Arabidopsis thaliana: one gene and its partners. The protein of the gene in region 1 interacts with the protein of each later gene in a pairwise test. Each region holds a gene or a part of one and is shown on either strand. Other genes may lie near its edges. The genes, in order: VPS9B, NRP1, AT5G64780 and NRP2.

Evidence for each region.
Region 2: the proteins of VPS9B (region 1) and NRP1 interact in a two-hybrid assay, tested with the Arabidopsis thaliana proteins (one large-scale study listed by BioGRID).
Region 3: the proteins of VPS9B (region 1) and AT5G64780 interact in a two-hybrid assay, tested with the Arabidopsis thaliana proteins (one large-scale study listed by BioGRID).
Region 4: the proteins of VPS9B (region 1) and NRP2 interact in a two-hybrid assay, tested with the Arabidopsis thaliana proteins (one large-scale study listed by BioGRID).

Annotation. Positions count from the first base shown.
Region 1 is NC_003076.8:2,889,583-2,894,123, forward strand, and holds VPS9B (vacuolar protein sorting-associated 9A-like protein), read right to left. Parts: upstream 2,513-4,541; 5' UTR 2,435-2,512; coding exon 2,352-2,434; intron 2,080-2,351; coding exon 1,932-2,079; intron 1,844-1,931; coding exon 1,673-1,843; intron 1,586-1,672; coding exon 1,406-1,585; intron 1,285-1,405; coding exon 553-1,284; 3' UTR 520-552; downstream 1-519. Other genes in the region: AT5G09315 (vacuolar sorting protein 9 domain protein), read right to left, coding at 1-298; NAC082 (NAC domain containing protein 82), read right to left, coding at 3,041-3,649, 3,926-4,351.
Region 2 is NC_003070.9:28,017,084-28,022,021, forward strand, and holds NRP1 (NAP1-related protein 1), read right to left. Parts: upstream 2,967-4,938; 5' UTR 2,818-2,966; coding exon 2,689-2,817; intron 2,224-2,688; coding exon 2,101-2,223; intron 2,018-2,100; coding exon 1,967-2,017; intron 1,836-1,966; coding exon 1,764-1,835; intron 1,644-1,763; coding exon 1,530-1,643; intron 1,448-1,529; coding exon 1,383-1,447; intron 1,268-1,382; coding exon 1,204-1,267; intron 1,112-1,203; coding exon 1,083-1,111; coding exon of another isoform or gene 1,055-1,082; intron 968-1,054; coding exon 920-967; intron 780-919; coding exon 680-779; 3' UTR 501-679; downstream 1-500. Other genes in the region: CYP98A9 (cytochrome P450, family 98, subfamily A, polypeptide 9), read left to right, coding at 1-466; AT1G74580 (Pentatricopeptide repeat (PPR) superfamily protein), read left to right, coding at 3,694-4,938. UniProt on the Arabidopsis thaliana protein: Acts as a histone H2A/H2B chaperone in nucleosome assembly, playing a critical role for the correct expression of genes involved in root proliferation and patterning.
Region 3 is NC_003076.8:25,899,882-25,903,783, reverse strand, and holds AT5G64780 (holocarboxylase synthetase), read left to right. Parts: upstream 1-1,656; 5' UTR 1,657-1,828; coding exon 1,829-1,987; intron 1,988-2,550; coding exon 2,551-2,631; intron 2,632-2,796; coding exon 2,797-3,084; 3' UTR 3,085-3,372; downstream 3,373-3,902. Other genes in the region: AT5G64790 (O-Glycosyl hydrolases family 17 protein), read right to left, coding at 1-411, 725-1,071.
Region 4 is NC_003070.9:6,480,593-6,485,495, reverse strand, and holds NRP2 (NAP1-related protein 2), read left to right. Parts: upstream 1-1,849; 5' UTR 1,850-2,032; coding exon 2,033-2,149; intron 2,150-2,453; coding exon 2,454-2,576; intron 2,577-2,671; coding exon 2,672-2,722; intron 2,723-2,810; coding exon 2,811-2,882; intron 2,883-3,005; coding exon 3,006-3,119; intron 3,120-3,211; coding exon 3,212-3,273; intron 3,274-3,395; coding exon 3,396-3,459; intron 3,460-3,545; coding exon 3,546-3,605; intron 3,606-3,701; coding exon 3,702-3,749; intron 3,750-3,970; coding exon 3,971-4,030; 3' UTR 4,031-4,383; downstream 4,384-4,903. UniProt on the Arabidopsis thaliana protein: Acts as a histone H2A/H2B chaperone in nucleosome assembly, playing a critical role for the correct expression of genes involved in root proliferation and patterning.

The DNA of each region.
Region 1 (4,541 bases):
GGAATTTAGAAATGATTACACGATCAAGCAGAGCTGAGGAAGAAGAAGTCGTGGAAGTAGAAGGAACGGGAGGAGGAGGAAGAAGTGGATTGGCTCGCTTCAGGGCTTGAACCGCTTGAATCGCTTCGATACTGAGCATTCGTCCTCTCTGCAATGGTTTCCTGTTCTTGCTACGGTCTCTCATTTTTATCACCATAGCTCGCTGGAGAATCTGAATCCGGCCACCGGTACCACCGCGTAGCTTGAATCCGAGACGGAGAATATCATCTCCGCAACTTCGCAGTCCAATCCCTTCCATAGTCGCCGTTAAGCTCTGTTCCTCTGAGTGGTGTGGGAATGGCAGAGGAGCAGAAAATGAAGCGAAATTACAATAATACCCTTTTCGCTTATCTTGGTTTCATATCTTGTAATGAACCCTTAACCGGTTCTCAGATAAAACCGGTAAGTGTTTCAATTTGTCGTATAACCGTAGAACCGTATAATTAGTGAATGTAAAATTACATGTAGCATTCAAGAACTGAATCCGATTACATTTGGAAGAGATAAGTCTGATTATTGTTTTACATCTGAGATATTATGAACATTGTCTCCCTCACCTTGTAGAGCTCGAAACAAATTATCAACGCTCCTGTCAGTTTCGCTTTTCGTTTGAAAATCTGAAGACAATGTTGTATGATTCTCAGAGACTTTAGACGCTTGCAATGGTGAAATGCATGGAGTTAAAGATGTTGCATCACCCAAGCCTTTGGAAAGGCAAACATATTTGAAAACTAGCTGTTTATAATTATTAAGCAAGTCTTCAACATCTCCTATCTTTAAATCACCAACACTGGCAAACATGTAAGGATATTCTTGAAATATTTTGGTTGCCTCACTTCTATCATTCAAAAGCGTAGCAGCGCCCTTATTTTCCAAATCGGTAATGGGGTCAGCTTTCTTTATTGGTGTTTCACTCAGTGTTTCATTGGTACCAGAGAAACTATCAGTTGATTTTGTATGCAGAAGCATGTTTTCCCTCTTAGTATTATGAGCAGTGGGTAATGCAGCACCGTGATCCGTTTGATAAGACTGGCTTCCCGGACCAGAAAGACGTGCATGTGCAGATTTCATTTTAGTTTCAAAGTCAGCTTCATCCATGGAGAGGGATTTTGCATCAATATTTGAGATGAATGACTCTGCAGAGAGTATGTTGGTGAATAAGTAGCCAGCTTCGCCAACCAGTTTAGATTGACGCCTATATCTTTGTATATACAACAAGTTTGAGTGAAACTGGGGAGGGTTAGCCTGGAGAAACAAAGCAAATAATGTCATTTTCAGAATCCAAGGATAAGAGTTAATATGAAGTAAACATGAGACATATTCAGAAATAGCTTTTGCTTAAATTGTACAATCCTTGACAACATACCTTAATGGTAACATATATGAGAACAGGAAGAAATTGGTCAGCTCCAGGTTCATTCTGGTTTGAAGCAATTGAAGCATTTAGAAGTAAGTTATTAATGACTTTGCAGCACCTAAGGATACACATAAGCTTATCACGAGGAGCATTGTACATATTTATCTTCTGGAGCTCTTTTTGAGCTAGCTGCCATAAAATAAGAAAAAAAAACATCACAAGTAAGAACCATTATAAGAAAACAAGCAACACTATGGAGAGATAGATGTGACTTACAAGCCAAGATGTTTGGTTTTGAAAAGTTGGTTGTATATCCAAGTTTTCAGGAGATATGAACTGTTGAACCAAGGAAATCTTCTGAAAGAGTTTCTCATCGGATATAACATCCTCGGTGTTTGATGCAAAAACCCGGGGAAATAACTTTGTCATGACATACTTCTCCAGGCCCTGTGTATACATAAATTAAGTCAAGAAAGATTATTATAGATAAATCATGAGAGAGATAAGCAGGAAAAAGGGAAGAAGAATAACTCACATCTCCCGCATTGTCTAACTCATCATCGGAACAACCAGACCAAAGTGGATGAGCCCTGAAAGCAGACTCCATCTTGTAAAAGAAGTCCTGAACTGCATCACAATCTTTTTCAGGGTCTGGTGCAGTGTTCAAGATCGAAACAATGAAACTGCAAAACATCAAAAAACGTTCACAACTCAAAAAACCAGTGGCATGTGATGTTTCCATCACAACAAAAATCTGCTTAAGTTTATAGCAAATCATCGATATCATAACATTGTCGCAAAAACGAAAAAAACTATTCATAACTACTAGAGAGCAATGTGAAATCAGCAAGATATCTTATCTTGCACACATGTAATCATAACTAGAGAGTAAATAAACCTAAAGTATACAAAAAGCGAAGAAGAGAAGCGAGAGAGAGAGAGAGAGAGAGATAACCTTTTGATTGATTTGATGAAATCTTTGGCGGAGGGTTTACTCAAGAAATTATGCAGACCCGAGACGACGTCTGTGTTCTCCATCAATCCCCCAAGATACCGTACGATCGACGACAATCAAAATTGAATTCTTTGTCAGCAAGGTTTTTAGTGGAAAGAGATCAAATCGGCTTTTTAATACACGAGATGATGAATAATGATGCGGTGGGAAAGCTAAAATATTGGGCCAACGAAATAGGATTCGAAACGAAGCCCATTTAAGCCCTACATCTACATCATCTGTTATGGTCCTAAATCTGGTACGATACTTTCTTCTTCTTATTTACTTTTTTCATTCTTCGTTTTTACTTGGAACTTTTGTTCCTCCCGATTAGTTTTTGTGTTTTTCAGTATTCATCATTAAAATTCCTTTTAGTATTAATGATATGATTTAGACAGAAGAAGTATATATACAATAATCCATAGCAAAATAGAAACAAGAATAAATGTTGAGAATACTCTGAAGAAATACGAGATTCTAAGGATGAAACAGAGAATGTTGATAGGGAAGTTTCGACACATTAAAAAGATTTTGACTAATAAAAATCATAATTCAAAGACAAGAAACAAAGGTGCTTGCTCCTCCTTCTATTCGGTCTGATTTGCATCTGTTGGATTTGTAAATCCTGCTTCTCTTCTCTTCTTCTTTTTTTACATTTTTGGTCTATGTCTCATGGAAGCAGAAAAGCCATAAGGATCATCATCATTACCACCAGAGAAGTCAAAATGGCCTTGATTATACAGAAAGGAGGAGCTTCTCGGGTCATTGCGATTCCCAGTTTGAGGATTTAATGGAGCAGTGAGGTCTTGTAGCCCAGTTTGAGGATTAAATGGAGAAGTGAGGTCATGTAGCCCAGTTTGAGGATTAAATGGAGCAGTGAGGTCTTGTAGCCCAGTTTGAGGATTAAATGGAGCAGTGAGGTCTTGTAGCCCAGTTTGATGATTAAATGGAGCAGTGTGGTCTTGTAGCCCAGTTTGAGGATTAAATGGAGCAGTGTGGTCTTGTAGCCCAGTTTGATGATTAAATGGAGCAGTGAGGTCTTGTAGCCCAGTTTGAGGATTAAATGGAGCAGTGAGGTCTTGTAGCCCAGTTTGGGGATTTAATGGAGCAGTGAGGTCTTGTAGCTCTAGGTATAACTCCGAGTTTTCAACTAGGTCGTAAGAGGCCGTCCTTGGCATGCTGCTCAACTCTGGTAGTCCGTTGAAAATGCCTTCTTCTTCTAAGCAAACTGGAGCTGAGACACCGGGATCATATCTTACCTGTAGATTGATTAAATATGAGAATGTATTTTGCAGATACAAAAGAGCACATATTGATGTTGGAGAACAAGCAGATACAAAAGAGCACATATTGATGTTGGATACTAAGATCGAAGATATAGCAAAGAAGCTTTGTCTAATGGGTAACTACTACGTTCCAATGCCACTAAAACACTTAACAGCTTTAAAGTAGCCTTGCTAGCTTAAGAACATGCAGTGACACCGGCTTGTTATCACTATACTAAGCCAAAGAAGAAGAATGCAAAAAAAAACTACCTCATTATTGTTGAACCCTAAGAACTCTTCGTCATCATCAAATAGATCCAACATTGAATATAAGTCATCATTGTTGGGGGTCTGAACGGTCTCTGCCAGAGGTGCAGTAGACATAGGAGTGGTAGCTGCATCACTTGGATGTGGAAGCTCGCTGGTGGTATTAGTTGTAGCTGGTAGGAAATCCGAGACACATGACTCTGATATCATGCCACCAAAACAATCCTTATTGGAGTCATCTGGGGCAGTCAAAGCCAGAGTGGTTTCTTTGCTAGGCTCAAGAAGGTTTGTGGGATTACTAGTAGAAGGAACATCAGTACGTACTTCCTCATCACTCCAGTCCTCTTCCTTAAACGGAGCTCCATATTGAGCTCCATTTCTAGGTCCAGGACCATCTTTCTTGAACAGAACACACACCACATAAGTATCCTGCAGTCCAAAACATAATTGTAAGTAAAGAGAGAGTGATATAAGCTTACATGGATGATACATAAATCTATAAAACTAAACAAGCAGGAAACAATATATAAGTGGAAGAAGGAAAAAATTGCAGGCAGGACAGTAACACACTATCAAAGCAATTAAGGAACAAATTAAAACGGCAAGCTATCATCAGTAA
Region 2 (4,938 bases), on another chromosome or scaffold:
ACTGCCGTTTCTGCAATGCGTACTCAAAGAAGCTCTCCGGCTTCACCCTCCAACACCATTGATGCTTCCACACAAGGCCAGCGAATCAGTTCAGGTAGGTGGGTACAAAGTTCCTAAGGGAGCCACGGTTTATGTCAACGTGCAGGCGATTGCTCGAGATCCTGCAAACTGGAGTAACCCAGATGAGTTTAGACCAGAGAGGTTTCTTGTGGAGGAAACGGACGTTAAAGGTCAAGACTTTCGGGTTCTTCCGTTTGGGTCGGGAAGACGGGTGTGTCCAGCCGCTCAACTCAGCCTCAATATGATGACATTAGCACTAGGTAGTTTGTTGCATTGTTTCTCATGGACATCCTCTACACCTCGAGAACACATTGACATGACCGAGAAGCCTGGATTAGTTTGTTACATGAAGGCTCCATTGCAGGCTCTAGCTTCGTCCAGGCTGCCACAAGAGTTATACCTTTAACTTTTAACTGAGATAGATTATATTAATCAACATAAGATAAAGAGAGATTCTCAATTGCGAAAAACAGATGTAGTTATGGCAAGATTTAGGACATGGATGATGACATGGTTCGTACAAACAGAATGTAGCTATTGATAGTAAATAAACTAAATATTCCAAAAGAGAAAGCTTAGTCTCATCATTGCTAAAATTGAGAACCTCATAACACAAACTTTACACATCTGTTATAGAAGCAAGCCAGCAATGTGTTATCTTTGGGCTCCCATCATTCCTCACCATCTTCCTCCTCTTCATCGTCATCGTCTTCTTCTCCCTGAAGAGATTATGGTTTCAAAGATTTTCAAGGTTAAGAGATGGTGCACAGTAACAAAACATGTGACTCATAATAACAATGTCCAGACTGATACTCAATTAATCAATGTATTTTGAGGAGCAATGAGACAATTGTTTTACCTCTTCGTCACCATCATCATCTCCATCAAAATCCTCTTCATCAGCATCCTACATACATCAACAAAATCTTTAAGCAACTTATTACCTCTACAGAAAGAGGATTCAAGATTGAAAGTGAAATGATAAATAGTTTACATTGTTGAAGTAGGTGAGAGGGTTGGACCAGAGATCTTCCTTGATAATATCAGCAACCTGCTCCGAGAGAAGATTTCGGAGTTCAAATTGGGCAGATAATAAAAACGGTCTATAACGTATAACAAGTCAGAAAGTAGATGAGTATGTACCTCATCATGAATCTCATCCCCAGCATCTTCCTTATGTTGAGCATCAGTAAACCAAGTAAAGAAACTGAAGAGAAAGTTAAATGGAAAGAATTTAACTTTTTGTATCATATTCATCATATATTCATGACCACAAGAATTTCACTAAGAATATGATCACTTAATGGGGTCTAGAACAATACCTCTCCTCTGGCAATGCACGTTTATTTCCTTTCTTATCATCATGGTTCACTCCATTTGGCAAGCCCTACATTATTGAGAAACATCATTAAAAATAACGCCGAAGAGAGACAAATAAAGTAAGAAACTTATTATCTGTTTATATTTACCTTGCCCTCCTTCCATTTGATAGGAGTTGCAGTGATTTTTGTTGTTCCTTCTTCAAGGAAAGTAAATGTCTTGGTAAGCTTGGCATCCTCAAAGAACGGGTTTGAAGTGAAGTGCTGCGATTGATACCCCCAATTTAACAAGTTAAATAACAACAAAACCCAGTAATCTTCTCAGATCAATATGAGAAGACAATAACAACAGATTAGAAAAATGAGCTGGATAAAGAAACATACAAAAGTTATAGAGTATCCAGATTTCACATCTTTGGCATCCTCCACTTCCAGAGAGTTCAAGTACTTAAAAATCTGTAAAAACAGGGAAATCAAATGAATTGGTAAAAAGTAATGTAACTGTACAGAAAAAATGAATGCCAATCGGATAGTTATCGCCTTATCGGCATTATAATCTGGAAAACATGCCGAAAGATAACTCAAACCTTTTGGTCTTCTTCAGTCAAGAGGTCGCCTAAGGCAGGATGACTCAAAAACTGCAAAGAATGTGTAATGGTCATTGGTCAATAAGTAGTAGATGTTTAAAAACAGTAACTGAAAACAACCTATAAACACTTACAGCAGTCATCCAAAAGCCAGGAATCGATTGGATAACTTCATTGCGCTTGTCATAGACAGGTTTCCGTATCACGTTATATTTCTGCTCTACTTCCAAGACCTCGTCACTGGCCTTTTCGTTAATCTATAACCAACAAACCAGAGTTAGGAGAAAGAAGAAGAAAAAAACACTCATTAGAGTTCATGTCAATTCTAACTGTACTTATGAGTTAATGATATGCAATTGTTTGAGCTTTAACTTCTCAAACAGTACTCTTTCCACTAACTTCTCTATAGCTATTGGAGGAGTAATTACAGAGAGCAGTCACATGAATTAAATTATAAATAAGCAGAAATCACACAACATGTTCTCAAATTGCATTGTACGAATACACAACTATCACTACTGTAGCAACAATACAAAAAGACGATCCTTCATTCAAATCCAGCTACATATGAACATTAAAGTAAAATCTGTACCATAAAAATCAAAATTGGAATCCATTCAACTTTACCAGGATACAGAGCACATGACACCGGTTAAGAAAAAGGGGAAAAATCTGGAGAATCAGAGCAAATTAACGAAAAGTGAAAGAGGAGATTTTTTAACCTTCTCGAGGTCGTCTTGAATCTCCTGAAGCTTCTCAATTGAGAGAACAAGCTCTGCGTCGATTTGCTCCAAGTTTTCTTCTTCGCCTTTCTCTTCAATTTTCGACTTCTTGCTCTTGTCCGCGACCATTTTCAGTTCACTTCCTTTGAGGAAACCCTAATTCCAAAGAAAGAGAGGATTTTGGCTCCTCCTTTTGGTCTCTTCTCTTCTTGTGGTTCCGTCACAAGAGAATCAGCTAAAACCCTAGCTCCCGATGAGAGTTTATGCTTGTGAAGTGTGAGAGTGGGCAAAAGGGAACTTAGGGTTTTGAGGGGTTTATGTGGACCAATCAGGTTGCGCCAGCTGAAGCAAATAAGGGTATATTAGTCAATTTAAAAATCAATATTAGGGTACTTTAGAATTTTCTCTTCACTTGCTTTTTTAAGTTATCCTATTAAAATAGTTGATTTAATAAAAGCGGATTAAGTCATTTAATTTTTCCCTTTTTGTGTCGTATGATTTTACTTCAGGACCACTAAAACATTATTGCTCTAAAATATTATAACTTGACAAAATATATCCACTTTAAAATAAAACAATTTGAGAAGAAAAAAACAAAAAAAAAAAGGAAATGTTGACAGTGGGATTTGAACCCACGCCCTTTCGGACCAGAACCTTAATCTGGCGCCTTAGACCAACTCGGCCATATCAACTTTTGTGTTCTAGAAAGAAAACATAATTATTTATTCAAATTATTCCTACGCGCTTCTTCGCCGAGTGCGATGGGTTTACTACTCCCAGCGTTGTAGCCGTTGAAGCTCATCAGTGAACTTTACTTTCATCCATTGTAATTGATTTCTCCAGTTGTTTTCTGAGTCTCCTCATTGAGAAAGGATCTACCTTTTTCTCGATTTTATTCTCTCCGCTGAGAATTGTCTAGGGTTCTTCTGTCTTCTTTGCTATTTCTCTCGTATCTGGATTTTAGGGATTCAAAGTATTTTCATTAGGTTACGATTATTCTCCTTTATGGGTCCTCCTCTGCTTCCGAAACATGTAACTGCAGTTATAAAATGTCAGAAGGATCCTATGAAAGCTCTAGAAATGTTCAATTCGATGAGAAAAGAGGTTGGTTTCAAGCATACTTTATCTACTTACCGCAGTGTCATCGAAAAGCTTGGATATTATGGAAAATTCGAAGCCATGGAAGAGGTTTTAGTGGATATGCGGGAGAATGTTGGTAACCATATGCTTGAAGGGGTTTATGTTGGGGCAATGAAGAATTATGGTAGGAAAGGGAAAGTTCAAGAAGCTGTTAATGTGTTTGAAAGGATGGATTTTTATGATTGTGAGCCTACGGTTTTCTCTTATAATGCTATTATGAGTGTATTGGTTGATAGTGGTTACTTTGATCAAGCTCACAAGGTGTATATGAGGATGCGGGATAGAGGTATTACGCCTGATGTTTACTCGTTTACGATTAGGATGAAGTCGTTTTGTAAGACCAGTCGGCCTCACGCTGCTTTGAGGCTTCTTAATAATATGTCTTCTCAAGGCTGTGAGATGAATGTGGTTGCTTATTGTACTGTGGTTGGTGGGTTTTATGAGGAGAATTTTAAGGCTGAGGGATATGAGTTGTTTGGGAAGATGCTTGCATCGGGTGTTTCGCTTTGTCTTAGTACGTTCAACAAGCTTCTACGTGTTCTTTGCAAGAAAGGAGATGTTAAGGAGTGTGAAAAACTACTTGATAAGGTTATCAAAAGAGGTGTTTTACCGAATCTGTTTACTTATAATTTATTCATTCAAGGGCTTTGTCAGAGAGGTGAGCTTGATGGTGCGGTTCGTATGGTAGGTTGTCTCATAGAACAGGGACCCAAACCTGATGTCATCACGTATAACAATCTTATATATGGCTTATGTAAGAATTCCAAGTTTCAGGAGGCAGAGGTTTACTTGGGGAAAATGGTGAATGAAGGGCTTGAGCCTGATAGTTATACCTATAACACACTAATAGCTGGATATTGCAAAGGTGGGATGGTACAACTTGCAGAAAGGATTGTAGGTGATGCTGTTTTCAATGGATTTGTGCCTGATCAGTTCACATATCGCTCCTTAATTGACGGGTTGTGTCATGAAGGTGAAACAAACCGTGCTTTAGCTTTATTTAATGAGGCCTTAGGGAAAGGGATAAAGCCTAACGTTATTCTTTACAACACACTGATCAAGGGATTGTCTAACCAGGGTATGATTCTAGAGGCTGCTCAGTTGGCGAAT
Region 3 (3,902 bases), about 23 Mb from region 1:
GCGTAAACAAGTGTGTCGTAATTGGCGTCAAACACGTTATCATAATTCTTTCCTTTGTCAGTCATTGTCTGACCATCACCGTCAAGAAAAGCGAACTCAACGGGAAAATGCTCGTTTAGGTAAAGACTAAGGAAAGGGTAAATGTTGACGGTGAAAGGTAAGTCGTTTTCGTGGAAGAAATTGACGATATCAAGCATCGTTTGTTTGACATCCTTGCGGAAATCACCTTCTGATGGCTTGTCGTTGGCTGATTGGTAAACTTCTGCGTTTTGTGGGATCGTGGCTTTCATTATATTGGTGTGTCCAGCTTCTTTTAACGCCTTGTGAATGTTCTTTAACGCTGGAAATGTTGTCTTCAAGAACGATCCGTTGTATGCAGACAAAAACGGCTCGTTCCCCACGGCTACGTACCTAGTGAATGAATTCTCGGTCAAATATACACCCAAAACAGCGACTTTTACCGGTTTGTAGGTATTTAGATGAATATAATGTCAAATTTATTATTATTATTAAATTTTAACAAGAAACTAAGAATATTAAAAATTAACAGGAAAAAAATTGTCTGAATAAATGAAATCATCTCATTGGTGCGATTTTGTTCAAATTGGAAATAAATAGCCAACCAAAATCGATCTATTTATCAAATCGGTTTATCATGTAGTCGATCAGATAGAATTATGGTAAAAACATGATTACAAAAAAATGAAAAAGTTTTGAAGGTTACTTGATGTCGACGCCACCCTTACGAATATACTGGGTCACGTTTTCTTTAACCCAATCTTTAGCATTATCGTAATCATCTGCGAGAGACTCAAGAAGGTTATTAGGGATTCCAACCATAACCTCCATGCCCGTACCAGCCAAAGCATTCATCGTCCATGAATCAGCGTCAAAAAGCTTCACTTTATTGATCTTATTGTCCTTAAGCATCTGAACAACAATGTTGGGATTCAACGGATGTGATGCGATATTGCCCCAATTCACACCGAAGCCTCCGACCAAACTAGCCAGGGTCAAAACGGTCATTATAACCGTCCCGACGTTAACGAGCATCGCTGCTCTTCCGGCCATATATATTGAGAAGGCGACGATGGATGATAATTAGGGTTTGTTTGATCTCGAAGATGTGTTTTTGTTTTCTTTTCTTTTGTCTGGTTGATGTTTTTTCTTCTTCCAGTCGGTAAAATTCTTTTTCGTGTCTTGGGTGGTCGTTGTAATAGGAATGTTTTTAGGTTGTTAGTGAAAGATTAATTAAGCTTAAAATAAATTTCTATTTTTAGAAAGAATTACAAGCTACAAAGAGGTGTGTATTTTTTTCGGAATCAGTTAGTTTTTTTTTTTTTGGTTAAGAGAGTATATCGCTGTTAATAATTGGTCGAATTGCTTATTAAACGAATACATCCTTGAAACAATGAGATAGCAGTTTATTAATATTAATTTTTGGTATATAAATCAGTCTGAACTCAAAATATGTGATTAGCTACTATTTTCATTGAAGATCCACAAATTATTAACGGTTTGGTTCTACACATAAAAAAAAAAATTCGTGGACCAAAGAAAAAAAAAACAGTCCAAAGCTTCAAAATTTTTGTCTGCAAAGCCAATAGTGGGGCCCAGGTTTTTAGATATATGGGACCCTTAAAAGTAGCATGAAAGCCACGTGGCAGAATCTCTACAGAGTAAATGCCACAAGTCTTTCTTCTTCTTCTTCTTCCCTTCACCAATAAGGCAATAATCCTTCTTCTTCTTTCTAAAATCCCTAAATTACAAATTGTTAAGAACTTGGACAATTCTATTTCTAGGGTTTGTGAGATTCGTTCGGACTCTAATGGGGAAGAAACGAAAATCCGAGGCTACGCGGCTCGATGAGGTTGATCGAACCATGTATGGCGCGTTTCGAGGCGCTGCTAATTCGCTCTCGCAGCTCTATACACATGCCATGAATCACCAACGCGTTTCTTTCCTCGCCGGTGAACGTCGCGGAATGGTCTCTGCTCTCTCTCTCTTGACCTTGTTTTATATCCAGTTTCGATTTTTGGCTTCTGGGTTCGATAGATAGAAACATAGTTGAAAAGTTTTCTTCTCGTTGCTTGTTTTGATGTTGGTTGACTATCTTGAATCGTAAATTGAGTGCTTATGTGTTGTTGGGTTTCTGTTTGCTCTCGAGATTTTAGAGTCACAGAATGAATCATGGATATTCAATGTTGTTTCTTATGTGTTGTTTTGGTAAAGTTGATCTCTTTGGCTTGTTTATGTTCGATTGATTGTCGTACGTGAGTTAATTGGAGACACACTCTGAAATTGGTTATGATCTATGAAGCTAGTTTAGATATGAGGCTAAGCAAGCAGTCTTACTGATAAAAGTTGTGGCCTTTTGATCTTGAAGTGCTTACTTTTGTTTTTTACTAGATTGATGAACTAGGATGGCTGTTCTCTTTTGGTGGCAGCTTGACGTTCTTGGCGTCATTCAATAGTGATTCATGACATTGTAGTATGAGATTTGAGGTTTGATTGGTCCATTGAGTTTTACTTTTTTCTTTCTTTTTACAGGAGAAGCTTTACCAATGGATTGTGAGACAAGAAGAACAAGGAACTAGAGTATCCACAGCTGATATTACTACCTACTTACAGGTACTTTCCTTTGAAAACAGTATCTCGTTTCTGATTACGCTCCTGCTATGTAATTGGAATTCAGATTGATTATACCTCTCTTGACTAGCTACGCATTAAAGTCCCAACGATCTTTAGTTTGATCTGAAAGTTATTCGTGTTTACCTTTTAAAACCATATATGCAGAATGCGCTTGAATATGAACCTGAGGAGACGTCGATACCACTCCCCATGCAAGAGTTTTATCAGCACCAATTCGCTCCACCAAACGTAAATACATCAGTAGCTCATGTTCCTTCAAGTCACATAGCACAACAACAACATTATGATTGTAACCAAGAGAAACTCTTGATTCCACCAAATGGTCTCTCAAGTCCGGTTCGAAGAACCCTTCAGGACTTCAACTTGTGTGAGGCTGAGTCTGGTAATAATAACTACAATCCCAACTCTACAGGTGAACACTTATCTTACTGAATAAAATCTTGTTTCATTTGCCGAAAGATGAAAAACATAAATCATTCCATTGTAAAGTCTCAATTGTTTGTGGTAAAGTATTGTCTCATGTAATACACAAAACACTTTTTCCTAATCTTTCAAAGAAGCTGGATGAATGTGAATTGACCCTTAAGATAGACAAATCTCTGATAGTGATTTTGTCGATAGGCGATATGATGATTTCATGTCTTGTCTAAAGCTCTCAAGACTTAAATGTAGACTTGTTAACAGTGATGAAAGAGAGACAAAGACTAATGATCAAAATTGAAGCCAAAACCTTCCATGTGCTCTCATGGTCCCTCTTTCAATTCAACTTGTCTGCAAAAACATTGCCCTGATGTTGATCTTCGCCGAGCTACGTGGTTTATGCTAATCCTCAGAAGAAACTTCTCGTTCAAAAATCTATGGACAGATAAAAACAAAAGTTACAGAATCACACTTTCTTCTTCTTTTGGTCATGGTGTTATCTGTACTAACAAGACATTCATCAAGGTGGTTGTCTGGAGATTGTCACTACATCTTGGCACAATGACATTTTGGCTGATTTCTATCTAGATTTTTTCCAAATTTTGTGTCTTTTTTTATTTGCCACGGTGTTTTCAAACGTAAAAGTCTAATCAACTCATCTAGCTAATCATATAAACTAGAGCTATAATAAAATTTGAAAGTGTTCGAAACAACTTGTCACTAAGAATTTATAAATAATTAGGTCCACACATAATTATTTCAGGAGTCAGGTCATAGGTCCATATACATTTCAATGGGGTATCAAAACGGTCATAATAAAATAAAGTTCA
Region 4 (4,903 bases), on another chromosome or scaffold:
CAAGATTGACGTCCAAATTAAGTTTGATCAGACACTAGCTAACCAGTCACACTATATTTTACGATGAATTCTATAATAATTTTGAAATTCAATTCAGAAACCCAAATTATCCAGGAACAAAATTGATACAAAGTAACCACTGAACATATATATATTCACTCCAGTTTTTTAGTCTTCGACCATCGTACAATAATACATGTTGCTTATTAGATTTACTATCTTCTTTGGAATATGATTTAAGTTCTTAACTATGTTTCTGCATGTTATACCATATTTGCAACTTTTAAGAAATGACACTAAAATATAAGGATTATCATTTCCACACCACATGTTTCACCATATCACATCCATGGACGTTACGCATTAATTGGAATGGATTATATAATAAAACATCGTAATTATATAGATCCCTCCCGTGAGTCACGACCCTACAAATTATGCATATCAGCATGTGGATAATAAGAGACGACGATGAGAACTTGACGTCGAGACAAGGAAATATCAATTAGTCTCTATGAGACTACACAAAACTGGCATTAACGTCGGATATATATTTGTAGCCATGCAATTGCAAACTTAGGGTTGGTTAGTAGTAAATGTGAAGGGGAATGTTCTCAAATTGGGACCAATTCAATAACTCGAAACGAGCTAATTTGTTCAAATAACGAATAAACAGAGTATGGGCATTGGATGCAAAATATATAATTAATTGGACCGCCTTAGACAGCACTATATTTATTGAATAAAGTTTTAATACATATCGGTAACATCTTAATAAATCTACATATTAAGATGTTACTGTATAAACATTTTAACTAATACACATATGAACAAAACTTGACATTCTTTTTTTCTTTACAGAACAAAACTTAAAAAAACTAATATTAAGCGAAATAATTCATTGCTGATTCGTTTCTAATGGTTCGACAGAATATAACGAAATTAATGTACTACCATATTTGTTTACAATTAGTGGAAGCCGAAAATTATGTCTATACTAATATTTTCTATGTATTTAAATCAAGTATTGTGGTACCACCAGCTGTGAAGAATGTTTTCAACAATATTAATTACTTTGTGACCACCTTACCCAATTCCATTCGATATTAAATAGGAAAAAGAAGTATACCTATTATTATGTTTTGTCTGATATACATACACATAAATACCCAACTAGAGCCAAACAACTCCAATAAATCAACCGTTGAATATGAATAATATGACACCTTTTTATTCATAAATGTGATCCTTTTAAACGTATAAAAATGGAGTAGTTAATAACTTAATAACTTAACTTAATAACATTGGTTCCTTTACACCAAAAAAAACAAACATTTTATTTGGGTCTCAAGAGGTTTATTAATAGTGGCCCATGTATAGACTGTTGCAATTACATTATTTCAGTAGCCCGTAAAGTTCCCTGGGAAGCCCATTTTGAGCCCATGGATAAGAAATTTAATTTAATCCACACAGAAAATTATATAAAGGGTGGGTTGATCAGATAAGTTATTAAGAAATCATCATGATTGTATTGTTTGATTTGTTACCTAATATTGTTTTTGTCACCAATTACATGAATTTTTTGTTGTTGTCAATACATGACTTTTGTTGTTGTCAACACATGACTTTTTCTTTAATCATAAAAAAACTTAAACAACATCACATCATTTAAGCTAGATATATTTTTGTTAATCACTTAATCACCATTAATCTATATATGGATGGGTAGATTCTATTATTTTTAAATCACAAAACCAATTATATAAAAATAAAATAAAAAACCTAAACAAAAGAAACATATGAAATTCCCGGCTCTAAATGACAAAAATACCCTTCTTCTGTAACGTGACGTAATCTAATTGGTTAACAAAACCCCCAAAACCCTAAATCAGTTTGCCCAGATTCACGCATCACACAATCGAGTTTTTAGGGTTTTAGCGGTTGCTCTCTCGGAAGCCAGAGAGAAGAGGGAAGAGGAAGTCTAATTCCTCTGCGTTTTTTGCAATTAGGGTTTTCTCAATTGGAATCGAAAATGGTGACAGACAAGAGCAAGAAGGCGAAAACCGAAGAAGAAAACGTCGAGCAAATCGATGCAGAGCTTGTCCTCTCAATCGAAAAGCTTCAAGAGATCCAAGACGACCTCGAGAAGGTAAATTCCAAAAATTTTTAACAATCCCCATGTTTAAATTTTCTCGTGAATTTTCCTTTAGTCGATGTTCATTTATTGCTTTGATCAATGAGAATTGTTGTGTTGGACTCTCTCTCGATTCAGATTTCTAGTGGACAAATTATAAAGAAAAGTCAGTATCTTTATTAGTAATTATGTTGTTGTTGTGTCTTTCGAGTGAAATGTGGTCGCTTTCAAATTGACTTTGTCAATAAAACTGTTTGAGGATTGAATTGTTGTGTTGAGTCCAATCTCTCAGTGACCTCTCTGGTTTTGGTTTTGATAGATAAATGAAAAGGCTAGTGATGAAGTGTTGGAAGTGGAGCAGAAATATAATGTGATAAGGAAACCTGTTTATGACAAGCGTAACGAGATCATCAAAACCATCCCTGATTTCTGGTTAACTGCTGTAAGCCAGACTCTCTGTTCTGTTTTTTTTTTCAATTCAGAGTTTTAAACAATGTTTTCTCTAATTGGAATTTTGGAAATTTACATTTGTTGTAGTTCTTGAGTCACCCTGCTTTAGGTGAACTTTTGACTGAAGAAGACCAAAAGGTTTGTGTTTTCCTTATTAGATTTTGATTGATTGATTCACAGTTTTCATTCTTTGTCCTGTTGATTCGATATTTCTGTTTTTGAACAGATTTTCAAATATCTTAGCTCTCTTGATGTTGAGGATGCCAAAGATGTGAAATCTGGATACTCTATCACTTTTGTAAGTTTCTTTTGTTATTATGCGACTTTATCATAATTTGATTGATATATCTCTGATTGATCTAAGAAAGCCAAGTTGTTTAGTTTATTCGTTTACTGATTGTTGTTACATTGTGAATTGCAGTCCTTCAATCCCAATCCATTTTTTGAAGATGGAAAACTGACAAAGACTTTTACCTTTCTCGAAGAAGGGACAACCAAAATCACAGCCACGCCTATCAAATGGAAAGAGGGCAAAGTAAAATGGATCTTTATTGCATAAAATAAGTTTATTTCTTAAGCTGTCACTGTTTTTGAGATTATTCTTAACTATATTTCTCAATTATCAAGGGCCTGGCGAATGGAGTGAATCATGAGAAGAATGGAAACAAACGTGCACTACCTGAAGAGAGGTATTTCTCATCTCCCCCATTTCACTGAAACCCATCATAGATCCAAGTTAAAACTCTTGGCACCATTCTTATTAGCCATTACACGTCTAAGGACTCTCTATCTTTTACCTGTCTTTTTTCAGCTTCTTTACCTGGTTTAGTGATGCTCAACACAAGGAGGATGTTGAGGATGAGATGCAAGACGAGGTAATGATCCTATATTTTTTTTATGACTTGATTGTAAGAGTAACTCCATGTATGGCCCAACTTGAACTCGGAAATTCGTCTTGTAGCAGGTTGCAGATATCATCAAGGAAGATTTGTGGCCCAACCCTCTCACCTACTTCAACAATGTAAGCTACTCACCATATCATTTTTCAGTCTTTACTTGGTTTAGAGCGCTTAAGTTGCTTGGAGATTTTGGTAAATTGTTAAATGTAACTTTGTAGGACGCTGATGAAGAGGACTTTGATGGAGACGATGATGGAGATGAAGAGGTAAAAGCCTCATCTTATTTCCTTTGTTTGGTTGAGTTTTCTACTTAAAAATTACTGCATCTATGATATGCTAATTAATGTGCATAATGAGATGAAAGATTAGATAGAGATATCTTAAGACAGAACATTGTGTTATTATTAATGCCTGAAACCATTTAAATTCTGGAGATTCCATTATAAGTTGTGCCTGATAAGTTTTTCAAAACCATATCTGTCTCTAGGAGAAAGAAGGTGACTCTGATGAAGATGATGACGAAGAAGACGAAGTTGGTGAGGAATGATGGCAGGGATACCCAGAAACCACATTTGCTTACATGTCTTCTCTATAACAGAGTGTGTAAAGTTTTGTGTGTTGAAAGGTTTTTAATTTTAAGCAAAAGTGGATTATGACGACAACAGACAAGCTTTTAATTTTATTTTACCGTAATAGTTATATCTTGTTGTAAGAAACCATTTTCAGCCTTTTGTTGGAAAATCCTGCTTAAATGGTTTTTGAGTCTTACATAATAGCTTCTTCATCTTTTGTCTTCTTAAAGAGAATTATATTTGTAATTTCATGTCTGTTGTGTTTCTTTGACTTTACTGAATAGAGAATTTGTGTGTTTATGGTGAAAATATAGCCGATCTGCTTGACAGATGAACGGAGTTTATTTTGTCTGGTGACATGACTCTGTTCTCTTATATCAGGATTTTTGAGAAACCCTTTGGTATCTTTATTGTTTGGTCTGAAGGTATGTATATACTTTTTGTCTTTGATTAACCTAGTAATATGATTACTAACTCCTGTAAGTTCCTCTTTCAGATCACTAGAACAAAGCAAGAAGTTGTAATATCTATTGTATAGTATAAAGATGCTCGAAAAATTTCAGATTCTGGTTAGCTCTAGTTGTACAGAAGAACAAAAAAGTCTCTAAAGACTCAAATGTTTCAGAACGACCTACGCCTATGAGTGTCTAAACCGGTTAAATCCGAACCGAAACGAATGGAAACAGTCTTGAGAAACAAAAGAGTAAAAAACTGATCATAGAATCACCTAGTTTTACTAAAAAGTGGTATTTAATAAAATTGCTCTCTAAACAACTTTATTAATAACCTACAACAAGATTTAATTTCTCATTTCTTAAGAGGCCATTAACTACAAGAATCACCTGAAA